Arabidopsis thaliana: one gene and its partner. The protein of the gene in region 2 purifies or fractionates together with the protein of the main gene of each other region. This does not show direct contact. Each region holds a gene or a part of one and is shown on either strand. Other genes may lie near its edges.

Region 1 (4,084 bases), on a different chromosome or scaffold from region 2:
TGGTCGAGTTTTCTTGGTAGTGAGAACTGAGAGCGATGTTACCAAATTTTGAAAGCTCTCTCTGTGTCTATAGATCGAGTTAGTGAGGTTGAGTTAAATAGGAGTTAGATTCATCCATTCTTTTACTTACATTTTGGAAGTTTTCTTTATGAGAAACTAAACGATGTATACAGAGAAAGAAATACGTAAAAAGAGGAAAGAAATACAGAAACACATGTGAATATCTATCCATTAGTTAAATGGATAAAATGACCAAAACAAGAATAACTTTGTTTCACCAAATGAATAACTATACACCTTGACAACAACAACTGAACAAAAACAATGGTTTATTTGTCTCCATTTTTGTCAGATGTGTATTTTGACACATGCCCCTTTTTTGGATGATCATATCCGTACTAATCAAATACTATAATAAAACCATGACACACATGTCTCTACTACGTTACTATCCAGATTCAAACTAACATGATTGTGACTACAATCAAACCAGTATTAGGTTTAGAAAAAGGAGTAATTTGTATTTGATCGTTTTCAGTAGTAAGCGACCTTCCTGTCAAACAAACTTATTGGCTTATTTTCAAGAACCATGATGAGAAAATGCGTAAACTTGTGTTGTAAGCTGCTTTTAAAGAAATTTCTTTTCCGGTCCTCAATATAAGAAAACTTGACAAAGAAGAAACACAATGTCTATTGCTCATAAAATTTTGAGAGACTCGAATACAAAGACGGGTAAAAAGTCTGGGAAAAATAAAATCTGAAAATTGTATCACTGGTCACCAGGAATTGACTTGATAATGTCAGAATCACCTGAAACAAGTCGAAAGACAAAATCATTAGTAGATCTATCAATGAAGAACCAGCAGCAATATATAAGCAAGTAGCTAGCTCTTTTACCAGGATCAACAATGCTCAGACAAGAAACACGGAAGTACTTTCCGCAAGCTGTTCCCAAATCAACGTTATCTGAAAGCCATTAACAAGGAGAGAAGAAAAACACAGTTAAGCCAAAGTGGTAGATACAAGAGGAATAACCGATGAATGAGCGTTGAAACATGAAACTATGTTCAATAGAATAAACATTCATCTACTTTCTTTGATGAAATCATCAAGATAATGTATTAAAACGCTCCTTCGAGTATTATCATCGAGCAAGATCAAGTTTTGTCTAAGAGTCAAAATCTAACAATGCGAAATCATAGACCAACAGAGCAATCTTTGGTATTATGAACCATGTCAATATTTGCAATAACCACATACAGAGACACCAACAGCAGTTCAAACCGATCGTGAACTTGCGAAAGATCAAGACTTCACGTCAATATACATTACAGTTTCTTCGACTTGAGATCATACTTCCATCATCAGTTTAATGGTCTATAGAAGCAGATTTTAACACTTTCATCTACTTAAGATTATACATTCTCAGTTATTATACACAATGAAAACCTTCACAAAAACAAGAGAACAATGAATCTTTAAAAACTGGACGAGCTAAAGAAGAAAGGAACTTACTTCCATTGTAATGGTGGACACCAACTTTAGCGAGCATTGCGTAGTACTCAATCTCTGATCTTCTCAACGGTGGGCAATTGGTGGAGATTAGAATCAGTTTCCCTGTGAACATAAGCAAAAACCAGAATCAATAACAAACTACAAAAAGCTAAAACATTTAGGTATGCAGACCAAGTGTTCGACGCAATTACCTTTGGAGCCACGGAGGGATTTGAGAACAGACTTGTAACCAAGAGTGTATTTACCACTCTTCATAACAAGAGCCAACCTACTGTTGATACCCTCATGAGACTTCTTCTGCAATTAAGCAATAAACCCAGAAACATATTAGTACATTGAGATCGTAAACGATATCTAGATGATGAGGAAAAGGGATAAAACTTTGATGGGAGAGAATAAGGCGCACCGTTTTCTTTTCCGTCACCATTTTCGCCGGCGATGGAGTGTAATCAAAATGTCTTGGATCTGTGCGGTGGAGGAGAAGAGGAGCACGATGACCAAACCGAAAAAGCGCCGCTTCGTCACCTTTTTATAGTCCGTGTCAATTTTCTAGGGTTTTTGCTCTTCAATTTATTGGAAATTTCAATTATGCCCTTAATGTTTCTATAGTTTTGTAATTTGTCAATTAAAAAAGTAATTACTCGATTTATTCGTTTCAGTGAATTGACAGTGATTAAATTAGCATAAACCACTTGTACATTCAACATTTTGTCGACATGAAACGTATTTGAATTACTTTTTAATTTACAAAATATGCAGAAATAAATTGGATAATTGGTAAACATATATTTTTTATATTTTTTTTTATACTTTTATTAGATTATTCAATGTTTCAAGTTTCAACAAGTTTTGTTTGTGGATGAAAAAAAATTCAAATTACTTTTCTATTTTCTTTCTATCGGATTCAACGTATAAGTTGAATTCTATAGAAATGGAACGAACTGATCAATCTCAGTTATGACTAGTGTGACAAAAGACAAAGTTTAACAATATTTATTTAATTAAGATAAATTGCTAATTTTAAGTGTTAGATTTTGGTAGACAAATATTAATAGATAAATTATAATTAATTATCTTGGAAATTAAGAAACAAGTAATCAAAAGTGGTTTAATTTTTATTATGATTTGAAGAATTAATAGAATAAGTCGAAAGATGTAAAAATATTTATATACACAGAGCAAACTTCACATTGAAGATCTCTCTCTTTTTTCCCCCTCTATGTTAATATCATTCCCCTTGTCGGCACGTAACAACAACGACCGAGACAACACAAACAAACAAATCCCCCACGTGTCGTAAACTGAGACCAGGTGGTCGTCATGTACAATATTTCTATAAAATATATGGTAACATCAAGAATTATTCCATAGAGCCCTAACCTAATTTGCTTCCTTTTGAAGCTCCTTCATCGAGAGGCACCTTCGTTATAAGCTTCAACTTCACTCGCTATATGTATACCCATCATGTCTCTCTTACACCATCTAATATCTCATACACACCATTATAATGTGTAATGGATTGTGCTTGTTTTGTTGGGTTACCAATAAATTCAAACACATGTACATGTTATTGACAAAAAGAGAAAACACATAAGGTTTGAGTCTTTAATTTCACAGAAGAGAAAACACACAGTGTATATACAATGTACAAATCACACTAGCTAGAACAAGCTATATATAAAAATTAGAGGCAGACTAGGAAATATATATGTGTTTGATGTATTTACTATATATATTATCCATACGCATACGCACCCACGTATATATGAGCCTTTAGGCAAGTGCCAAGAAACCTATAATGTTAAATATGAACATTGAATAAAATACATCTTTTTTTTGGGTTAAAGTTTTAAGTAACAACACTTGGTTATATAATAAGAGTAAACTACATTTTTACAAATATTATATAAAATGAGTATAAATGTAAGGGATGTACCTAGCCATATGGCAGATTCGTCTAAATTAAGATCAAAAATTCTATCCGCTCACCATTTGTAACTCTCTCTCTCTCTCTCTCTCTCTCTCTCTCTCTCTCTCTTAACACAAACCTAAAAACTCTCCTTTCGTCGACTCATTTACTTAAATATACAATTTTGCATTCGATCAATTTCTCTCGTGCCAACTAATAATAGATTGTGTTTTGATTATTTTGCAGTGACCATCGGATATGGGTCGGGTTAAATTGGAGTTAAAGCGTATAGAGAAGAGCACGAACCGACAAATTACGTTCTCAAAACGTAAAAAAGGTTTAATAAAAAAGGCTTATGAATTGTCAACACTTTGTGACATCGATCTTGCCCTCCTCATGTTCTCTCCCTCTGATCGACTATGTCTCTTTTCCGGTCAAACAAGGTATGTCCATTTCTTCTTCTAGAACGTTCCATGCTCTTCTAGAATCTTCTCCTTAGGCTTTTTCATCTTAATTAAAGTGTAACCATGTTTTGCATATACATGTACTGTCCATATCATTTGATTAAAAGACAAAACGGACAAGCCATATATTCTTTTTATCAAAAAAAAAATTGTTGGTGGAAGCCACCGAATAGTGGATCTGTATTTTTTGTACTAC
Region 2 (7,896 bases):
CTTCTTGGAGTCTTAAACCCTTGCATTAAGAACAAGATCAACTTACCAGTGATAAATTTATCATTACATTGTCTCATGTACGTTCTTGTTTTTCGTAACAAATAAAGCTATGAAAAGTAAAATTAGGAATTGATTATTCTTCTCGGTTTTGAGAAACAAATATTAAGTCACATTTTCCAGTAGGTTGATAATACCCTCACAACAAAACCTCTGTTTATCATCACGTTTCACTATACCTAAGAACACCTTTCTTTCCCCACGCACAACCGATTTAAAGGGAAGAAAACAAATCTTTTCCATCACCAAATGAATGAGTCATGCGTGCAATCACAATTTGAATTTACATATGAAGCCGTCCGTTCCCATTAGTTTCTGTCCTTGATCTTCTTGTGCCCGGTAACTCCTCATGTTTCGCTTCTGAACCAATTTTGTAACCTCTCTCGACCGATTCAGCTTCTAACGGCAGCTCGTCTAACGTCTGTTTTAAACCATATCAAAAAGACACATTTTAACAAGTTAAATTGCAATTTCTTCAAGATAAACCTTCAACTTACCCGATTAGCCTGCTGAAGAATGCGAAGAGTCTCTTGCGTGCGTTTCCTCTTTATCGCTAACTCATCGGGCTCTTTCAACAGTTCTTCAATTAAGTTCTCCCTGTCCCATCCACCAGATTTAGTTCATATAAAAAAAAAGACTATTCACAAAATCAAATGGGAAGCACATGGTTTCTTTCATCACCTGTAAAGCTTCTCGATGAAAACATTGTGCAGCTCACGTTTCGTGTAATTTACCTGTGTTTTATTCACAATTATATGGAATAGAGTTATTAGTCCCCTCACAAAGAATCGACCCACACTAAGTGTCATCAATGACCATAAGATGTTTGGCTAGACAATCAGAAGACTAGAAGAGTGGAACACTAACCAGAAAATGCATGATTGCTTTTGGGACCAAGTCCTCGACATTCTTCCTTACAATGTCATAGTAGGATTTCAATAATAGCTTTGTTATCTCAATCTCAACTGACTCCTGTTCTGAATGAGTTTCAGATGACTTCAAAATAGTTGGAGGCTTCAAAACAAAACATTATGAGATGAATAGGTAAGTAAAGTGACAGTATTGGGCAATATGAAAAGCCTGAGAAGGCACAAGATTCAAACCTCCTTTAAATAGATTGTTGACAAGTTCTGATACACTTCTTGAGTAGTTTCGCTGAATGGTTTGTTTAATAGGTTGTTTTTAGCAGCTGCCTGACCATCACTCCCCCGAAAAATTGATGAGAAACCACTCCAGCTTGTGCTTCCTGATTAATTCACAATCGGTCAAGAATACTACATTCATATTCTAAACAGAACATTGAATTAAGAGCAGACATGTATGCTTATATGTAAGTCGTATCTTAGACAAAGAATTTTATCATTTCAGTCCAAAATCATCTTAAAACCACACGTTCATTTATCTGTGCATACATGAAAGACTGAAAAATAAATGTGATAAGACCATTACCAGCTGGTGCAGGTCTTTCAGCATCTGCTGCAGTTGGAACTGCCTGTAAAAAATGTTAAGTAATTATATTATAAGAAGTCTCTAGCTGCATATCTGTACTCGCTTCATGGGCTTTCAGAAGCAGGGCCAACTACAAATATAGTAAGGAGATCAATGTAACAGAGTCAAATACATAACATAACGCATGACATGCCTGATCAGTGATGATTCCATTAGCTTGTCGGCCGAGAAAAGATCGGGTTTTTATTTGACTCCCGGAAGAAGCCGTCCTCTCAGGCTCCACAGTATCCTAGTTGTCATCAAAGGGAACATGTACGAAAAATTTCACAACTCGCAAAGAGAAACATAAAGCAAATATTAATTTCGCTGAGACTATTCCATACCCTTGGCCGCGCAACAGGATGCGGAATCCTAGAAGATTTGACTGTTTGCATTGCTTGCTCCACGGCTTTAGTTCCCCCGATAAAATTTGGGTGTGAGGTGTTTATATAATCCATCTGCAAATGGTAAACTTAAATATTTTAAACTAAATTTAAAAGAGGCACTAATCAATAAAATTGAGAGTAATCAATTTTCTTGAACTTAGAACATGGTCCTACTCCACCAGTGTGACAAAAAAAAAAATCAGTACGCAATCTAAGTAAATTTAATAATACTGGCCATTAGATTCATGATTGTGTGGATCTTAAATTATCCATACATACCTCCATTTCAATAAGATCTCGGATCATTGCCTGCGAAGGTTCAAGACCTTCTCGCAGAAAGTTCCCAATAACCTCATCCATGCGCTTTTGCAGGACTGGAAACCGCTGTAACTCTTTCATCATACACTGATGACTAATCTGTACATAATTTTTCAATTTAAAATTCATGGTCATGTAAATCAACAGTTAGCATCATAAAGAAACGCAAATAAAAATAACACCTTTACTAGCTCATCGAAGATGAACCTAGCGCACTGAAGGCTGGGATCTAATAAACGAGATATTTGCCTCCTGACAAGAACTTCAAATGGAACCTATGCAGATGAGAATGAAAGCAAGAGATACTAATCAGAGTTGCTGTAAAAGTAAAAAACTCAAGCAAAATAAGTATGTGGAAAGAACAGATAAGCAAAAAAATGCTCCCACATGCTTAGGGATATAGATAAACCTACATCTGGAACAAATAATGCAGATCTGGGACCAGTTGCATTTTGTATTGCAGTCCGAATATCATCAGCTGTTAAGTCTTCACATGGATCAACCTCCTTCAGAGCAAATTGAGAGAAACTAATGAGTTTAAAATCATTAAACCCCTATCAAGTAGCACTGACAACATCAGTAGGTAAAGATCTCTATACAACAGAGAATATTCAGATCGATTTTGAGTAATACAGATCAGATGCTTGAAAGATGGACGGATATGAACTAATATAAACACTGACTATATTTACAACTGAGCATAGTTCTACTCATACAAGAACTGCAAACATGCCACACTTCCAAGAACTGAAAACCTGAAACGAACTGTCTGCCTTCCGTGCAAATAGCCCCACTAACTAAACAAAGATATCTACACACAGTGATTACCTAACTAAGATATAGCCTAATGCTTAGCGAATCAAATAATATCTTATAAATAGAAAGTCATTCATACGAGTATAGGTTTTATATCAATAGCAACAAAATGAATCTCCTCCATTGAAGAACACATAGGTGTATAGGTTCTATATCAATAGCAACACAATGAACCTCCATTGAAGACCACAAATGATATCCCAAATTAAATTATGAAAGTATTACCTAACTAAGATATAACGTAATGCAAAACTTGGAAAAACAAAATAAAAGGCAGTTATAACTGAGTGAAGATCAAGGAAAATTATAAATGTAGCAAACCTCTAAGCTCTTAACAAATACTGATTGGAAAATGTAGAGAATTCTTGCTCCACCCGAGAGCTCAGATGTTGACATTTCTTTACTTTTCCCTTCCAGGGTAGAGGAGTATGCTGTTATAAATAATTAAGCCATGGTGAGGACCAATACCAACCTAAAAAGTATAAACTAACATCCATTGTCTAAACTGAAACAGAACCATCTTCAGATATTACCTTCGCAGTATTTTGTAATAAAACTGAGGAGAAGAGCTCCTTGACCACCCTATGAATTTCGAAACAGTTATAAACCAGAGTAAGCTGTAAGTTAAATAGTCACATGTTGTAGGCATATTTTATACGGAAATGAAAGAGCATATCTAGATATTTAGAAAAAATTTGTCAGAAATATTTCCCTACATATCTTGACATCTTCAAACACTAACTCTATAAATTACCGATAGTTTGTTTAACTGAAAGTAATCAGAAAAGGCTCCCAAGAATATCAAGAAGAGGATCACAAAAATGAATAAAATTATATTCAAATACGAAAACTGAGCAAGAAATCATACAACGCAAAAAAAGCAAATAGCAATGCCATCATTGAGAATGGATGGTATATATAAGGCTAAAACTGGCCAAAACCCACATACCCTAGACTCTGTTATATCCCCATAGCTCTCATACTCCTTTGCTGTAGCAAACAATGCATTGTTGATACGTGACTTTAAACTAGGAAGCAGTGCCTTGATGTGTTGAACAAGGACCTGCAAAGAAGGGAAAAAGAACTAGCTCCCATCAGACAGCTCATAATTTTAGTAATAATATTACCAGCTATGAAACTTATGAGATGCCATCTTTAGAAAAAGGACTACTCCATTCACAGAAAAAGAATCCACCATATGAATCAACAACAATAGTGAGAAGATGTCGCTGAGTTTTTCAAATATATACACACTAATGTCCTACAAAGATCCTAGCTCCTCCTGCTAAATGAAATAAGAAACATGAATGTTACATACAAAAGCCAATTTATTGTCTCAATTAGAGACACATCGGAAAATCCAGAAAGTGTATTCCTTATGACACTCGTGTCTTGACTGCATAACAAGATAATCATAACAAAGAAATTAGACGATCTCAAGACTGCAGATAATACCTGATTTAATTTCTTTGCCAGTTGAGGGACACCCAAACGATCTGTGAGACCGCTGTAAACCTGTTTATTAGAAAACAAACCAAAACAGAAGATATAAGCAGAAGAGTCAAGGAAACGCTATCAGAAAACAAATCGAGAGAATGATGCAGTCTTACTGGACGACTACGAAAGAACTTTTCCTCTGCAACAAGAGCATCCTTGATGCTACGGTTCATCAAAATATCCTGTTAAGGAATTAACACCCACATTAGTTATTGCCTTGCGTAGAGGGCAGTGGCCACATAGTAAGAGCAAACGAAAAATGAATATAGAGTAGAATGGTTTGGTAACACTAAAAAAAAGGTCTATATTACAGGTAGTATCCAAAGGGAAAAGAAGAGTCATAGAGATACAAATTGTGATAGCAAGAAATAAGACACACAAGCACAAAAGTAGAAGTGGTCACAGCTCATAATGGTAGGACAAGAACAATATACATCATAAGTAAACATGCGTAAATTTTTTGAAAAACAGGGTTTACCTCTTGACTACGATTTACAACTCCCACGTATCCAAGTCGAAGAGGAATTGTTTTTCCCAGAAGGTGATTCCGAGCATCAGTACCTCTGTCCATAATATCCAACTGAATCAGAGAGAAAATAGAGCAATCGTGAGAAATAGAGTAGTTTGCCATCACAGCTAAATCTAAAGCAAACTTATGAGGAGAGAAATAGCACCTTTGTGATTACACCTATGGTTCTATGACCTGAGAACAACAAATTCATATGCAAAACGAAATGTCACTATGTAGTATACCAATGAAACTGATAAATTCTCAATCGACTTGCTTCCAAAGACTCACCATCAGGATCAGCATTTCCTGCGATTTGTAATGCATCTGAATTTGCTAAATCAGTATTAGCAGGGCTAACAGCAAGTATCAAGCAACTAGGTTCCTTAATGTAAGTCAAGATCATCGTTCTTATACGCGCTTCGATATCACTTGGCTGATCACCAACAGGAACCTTAGTGATACCAGGAAGATCCACAAGACTAATATCCAAAACATTAGGTGAAAATATCTTCAAACCAATCGGAATATCTGATACACCTTTGTTCTCTCCTGATACTCTATTAGTCTCCGCCTACAAACAAATTGTCATATTCATACAATTAGACGATCATCATCAATAGATTCTATGACGAACTTAGAAGAAGAGAATGAATAAACAAACCTCAATCTCACGGCGAATCTCAGAGAAATCGTAGATACGTCTAACAGGATCGTGGTGAAGAAACTCGCCCCACTCTTCATCGGATCCACCATCAGAGCTAGGTTTCGTCTGAACAAGCTGGAGACGGAGAGGTCGGCGCGTGCAAATATCATTGCCACGAGGAAGAAAGTCACGGCCGACGAGAGCTTCTAGAACGCTGGATTTGCCACTGCTTTGACTTCCGACGACAGCTACTTGCGGAAGAGCGATCGTCGATTGACTTCCTAGCTGAGCGAATATGTCTTGGAGCTTGTTCACAATCGGAATCACGGAGGAGCCTAGTGGCGTTACGGCGGAGGCCGACGACGGAGGGAGATCGTCGACGGACATTGATTTGATTCGATCTAAAGATGGAAGTAATTTGAAAAAGGGGTTAGGGTTTTGAGTAGATTTGTTGCAAAGAGGTTAAAGAAGATCTTTCTCGATCACGCGCCGATTAAAGTAAATCAGAGTTAATAATATCTCTAAATATTTGTGTAATTTTCGGAGTTATTTCTTTTTGAGAAATTATGTAATTTTATGTTATTTTTTAAAGGATAATATATCATCTTATTTGAGATGTAGATTGCACTATTTTTTTAAGGGAGATGGGAGATTTGCAAAACTATCCTTATTCTAATAACCTTTTGTAAAAATGTCCTTTCCTGAAGGCCATTTTAAAAACTGCCCCTTTTAATATGGCAAATGACTGTCTTACCCTCTGAATGATTAGGTTTCACGTTCGTTTCACAAACTTCTTCGTTTTGGCACAAACTTCTTCGTTTTCCTCTCCGATTTCACTCAAAATCGCCGGCGAATTTTCTCTCCGATTTCACTCAAAATCGCCGACGAATTTCCTCTCCGATTTCACTCAAAATCGCCAACGAATTTCCTCTCCGATTTCACTCACAATCGCCGACGAATTTTCTCTCTGAGAAACCCCAAAATCGCCGACGAATTTCCTCTCCGATAAACATGTTCTTCGCTGAAGGATTCAGATCATTTCTCTACGACGCAAACAATCCCCAGAGATATCGATAGATCCGACGGTAACCGTTTTTATAATCGATTTTATAGTCGATTTTATAGTCGATTTTATAGTAGATCTGACGCTGTTTCATAACATGTTTTGCAGATGGATTCAGAGAGTGAAATCCTTGCATTGCCTGAACAAATCTACAGAGAAGGTGAGGAATCTATTACACTGGGAACCGTTCAACAATACTCGGATTGGAATTTAGTTAGTAAAGTAGAGGAAGCTTTAGGCGAGTATTTATTTCAGAAGATTAGAAGTTCGTTTCTTGGTCCTCTAGTTGAATTGGGACCAAAAATGAAGGCTAAGAAGGGAATCAGATTTTCTGGAAAAATCTTTCACTATCTCATGCAGCAGAGAGTGAAAACAAAAGGATCAACTCTTTGGTTTAGAGTTGATTCTCAACCTATCCGTTTCTCCTTGAGAGAGTTCTATCTCACAACAGGTAATAAAGTTTTACAATCGTTTTTAAAGCTTAATTAACTGTCGTAGAATGATTTACAAGGCATTTGCATAACTGTTTGCGTAGTTTACAATCGTTTTTAAAACATAAGTAAGTGTCATAGATAATTTACAAGGGATTTTAAAAGCTTTTAAAAGGGGTTTACTTCATTAACAATCGTTTAAGAAGCATAAGTTAGTAGCATATAATGATTTACAAGGGATTTTAAAAAGGGTATGCATGGTTTACAACCGTTTTTAGGCATAAGTAACTAGCATAGAATAATTTACAAGGGATTTTAAAAGCTTAAAGAAGTGTTAAACACGTTTACAAGGGATTTTAAAAGCATAAGTAAGTGTCTTAAAACGATTTACAAGGGATTTTAGAAGTGTTTGCATAGTTTACAATCGATTTTAAAACATAAGTAAGTGGCATAGAATATTTACAAGGGATTTTAAAACCTTTTCTAAGGGTTAAACATGATTAGCAATCGTTTTTTAAGCATAAGTAAGTTGAATAGAATGATTTACAAGGAATTTTAAAAGCTTTTAGAAGGGTTAAACATGATTTACAATCGTTTTTAAAGCATAAGTAAGTGTCATATAATGATTTACAAGGGATTTTAAAAGTGTCTGCATGGTTTACAATCGTTTTTAAAGCATAAGTAAG

Evidence for each region.
Region 1: the proteins of DRP3B (region 2) and AT1G77940 fractionate together in Arabidopsis thaliana (co-fractionation; one large-scale study listed by BioGRID). This does not show direct contact.

The regions. Positions count from the first base shown.
Region 1 is NC_003070.9:29,303,347-29,307,430, forward strand, and holds AT1G77940 (Ribosomal protein L7Ae/L30e/S12e/Gadd45 family protein), read right to left. Parts: upstream 2,066-4,084; 5' UTR 1,943-2,065; coding exon 1,922-1,942; intron 1,813-1,921; coding exon 1,707-1,812; intron 1,618-1,706; coding exon 1,516-1,617; intron 967-1,515; coding exon 898-966; intron 811-897; coding exon 770-810; 3' UTR 518-769; downstream 1-517. Other genes in the region: AGL67 (AGAMOUS-like 67), read left to right, coding at 3,683-3,867.
Region 2 is NC_003071.7:5,953,913-5,961,808, forward strand, and holds DRP3B (dynamin related protein), read right to left. Parts: upstream 6,197-7,896; 5' UTR 6,104-6,196; coding exon 5,735-6,103; intron 5,645-5,734; coding exon 5,362-5,644; intron 5,266-5,361; coding exon 5,237-5,265; intron 5,143-5,236; coding exon 5,041-5,142; intron 4,745-5,040; coding exon 4,676-4,744; intron 4,581-4,675; coding exon 4,521-4,580; intron 4,129-4,520; coding exon 4,015-4,128; intron 3,648-4,014; coding exon 3,599-3,647; intron 3,497-3,598; coding exon 3,387-3,496; intron 3,078-3,386; coding exon 2,988-3,077; intron 2,756-2,987; coding exon of another isoform or gene 2,753-2,755; coding exon 2,663-2,752; intron 2,525-2,662; coding exon 2,432-2,524; intron 2,349-2,431; coding exon 2,211-2,348; intron 2,004-2,210; coding exon 1,890-2,003; intron 1,796-1,889; coding exon 1,700-1,795; coding exon of another isoform or gene 1,696-1,699; intron 1,550-1,695; coding exon 1,507-1,549; intron 1,304-1,506; coding exon 1,161-1,303; intron 1,072-1,160; coding exon 925-1,071; intron 792-924; and 8 more. UniProt on the Arabidopsis thaliana protein: Involved in the control of mitochondrial and peroxisomal division and morphology.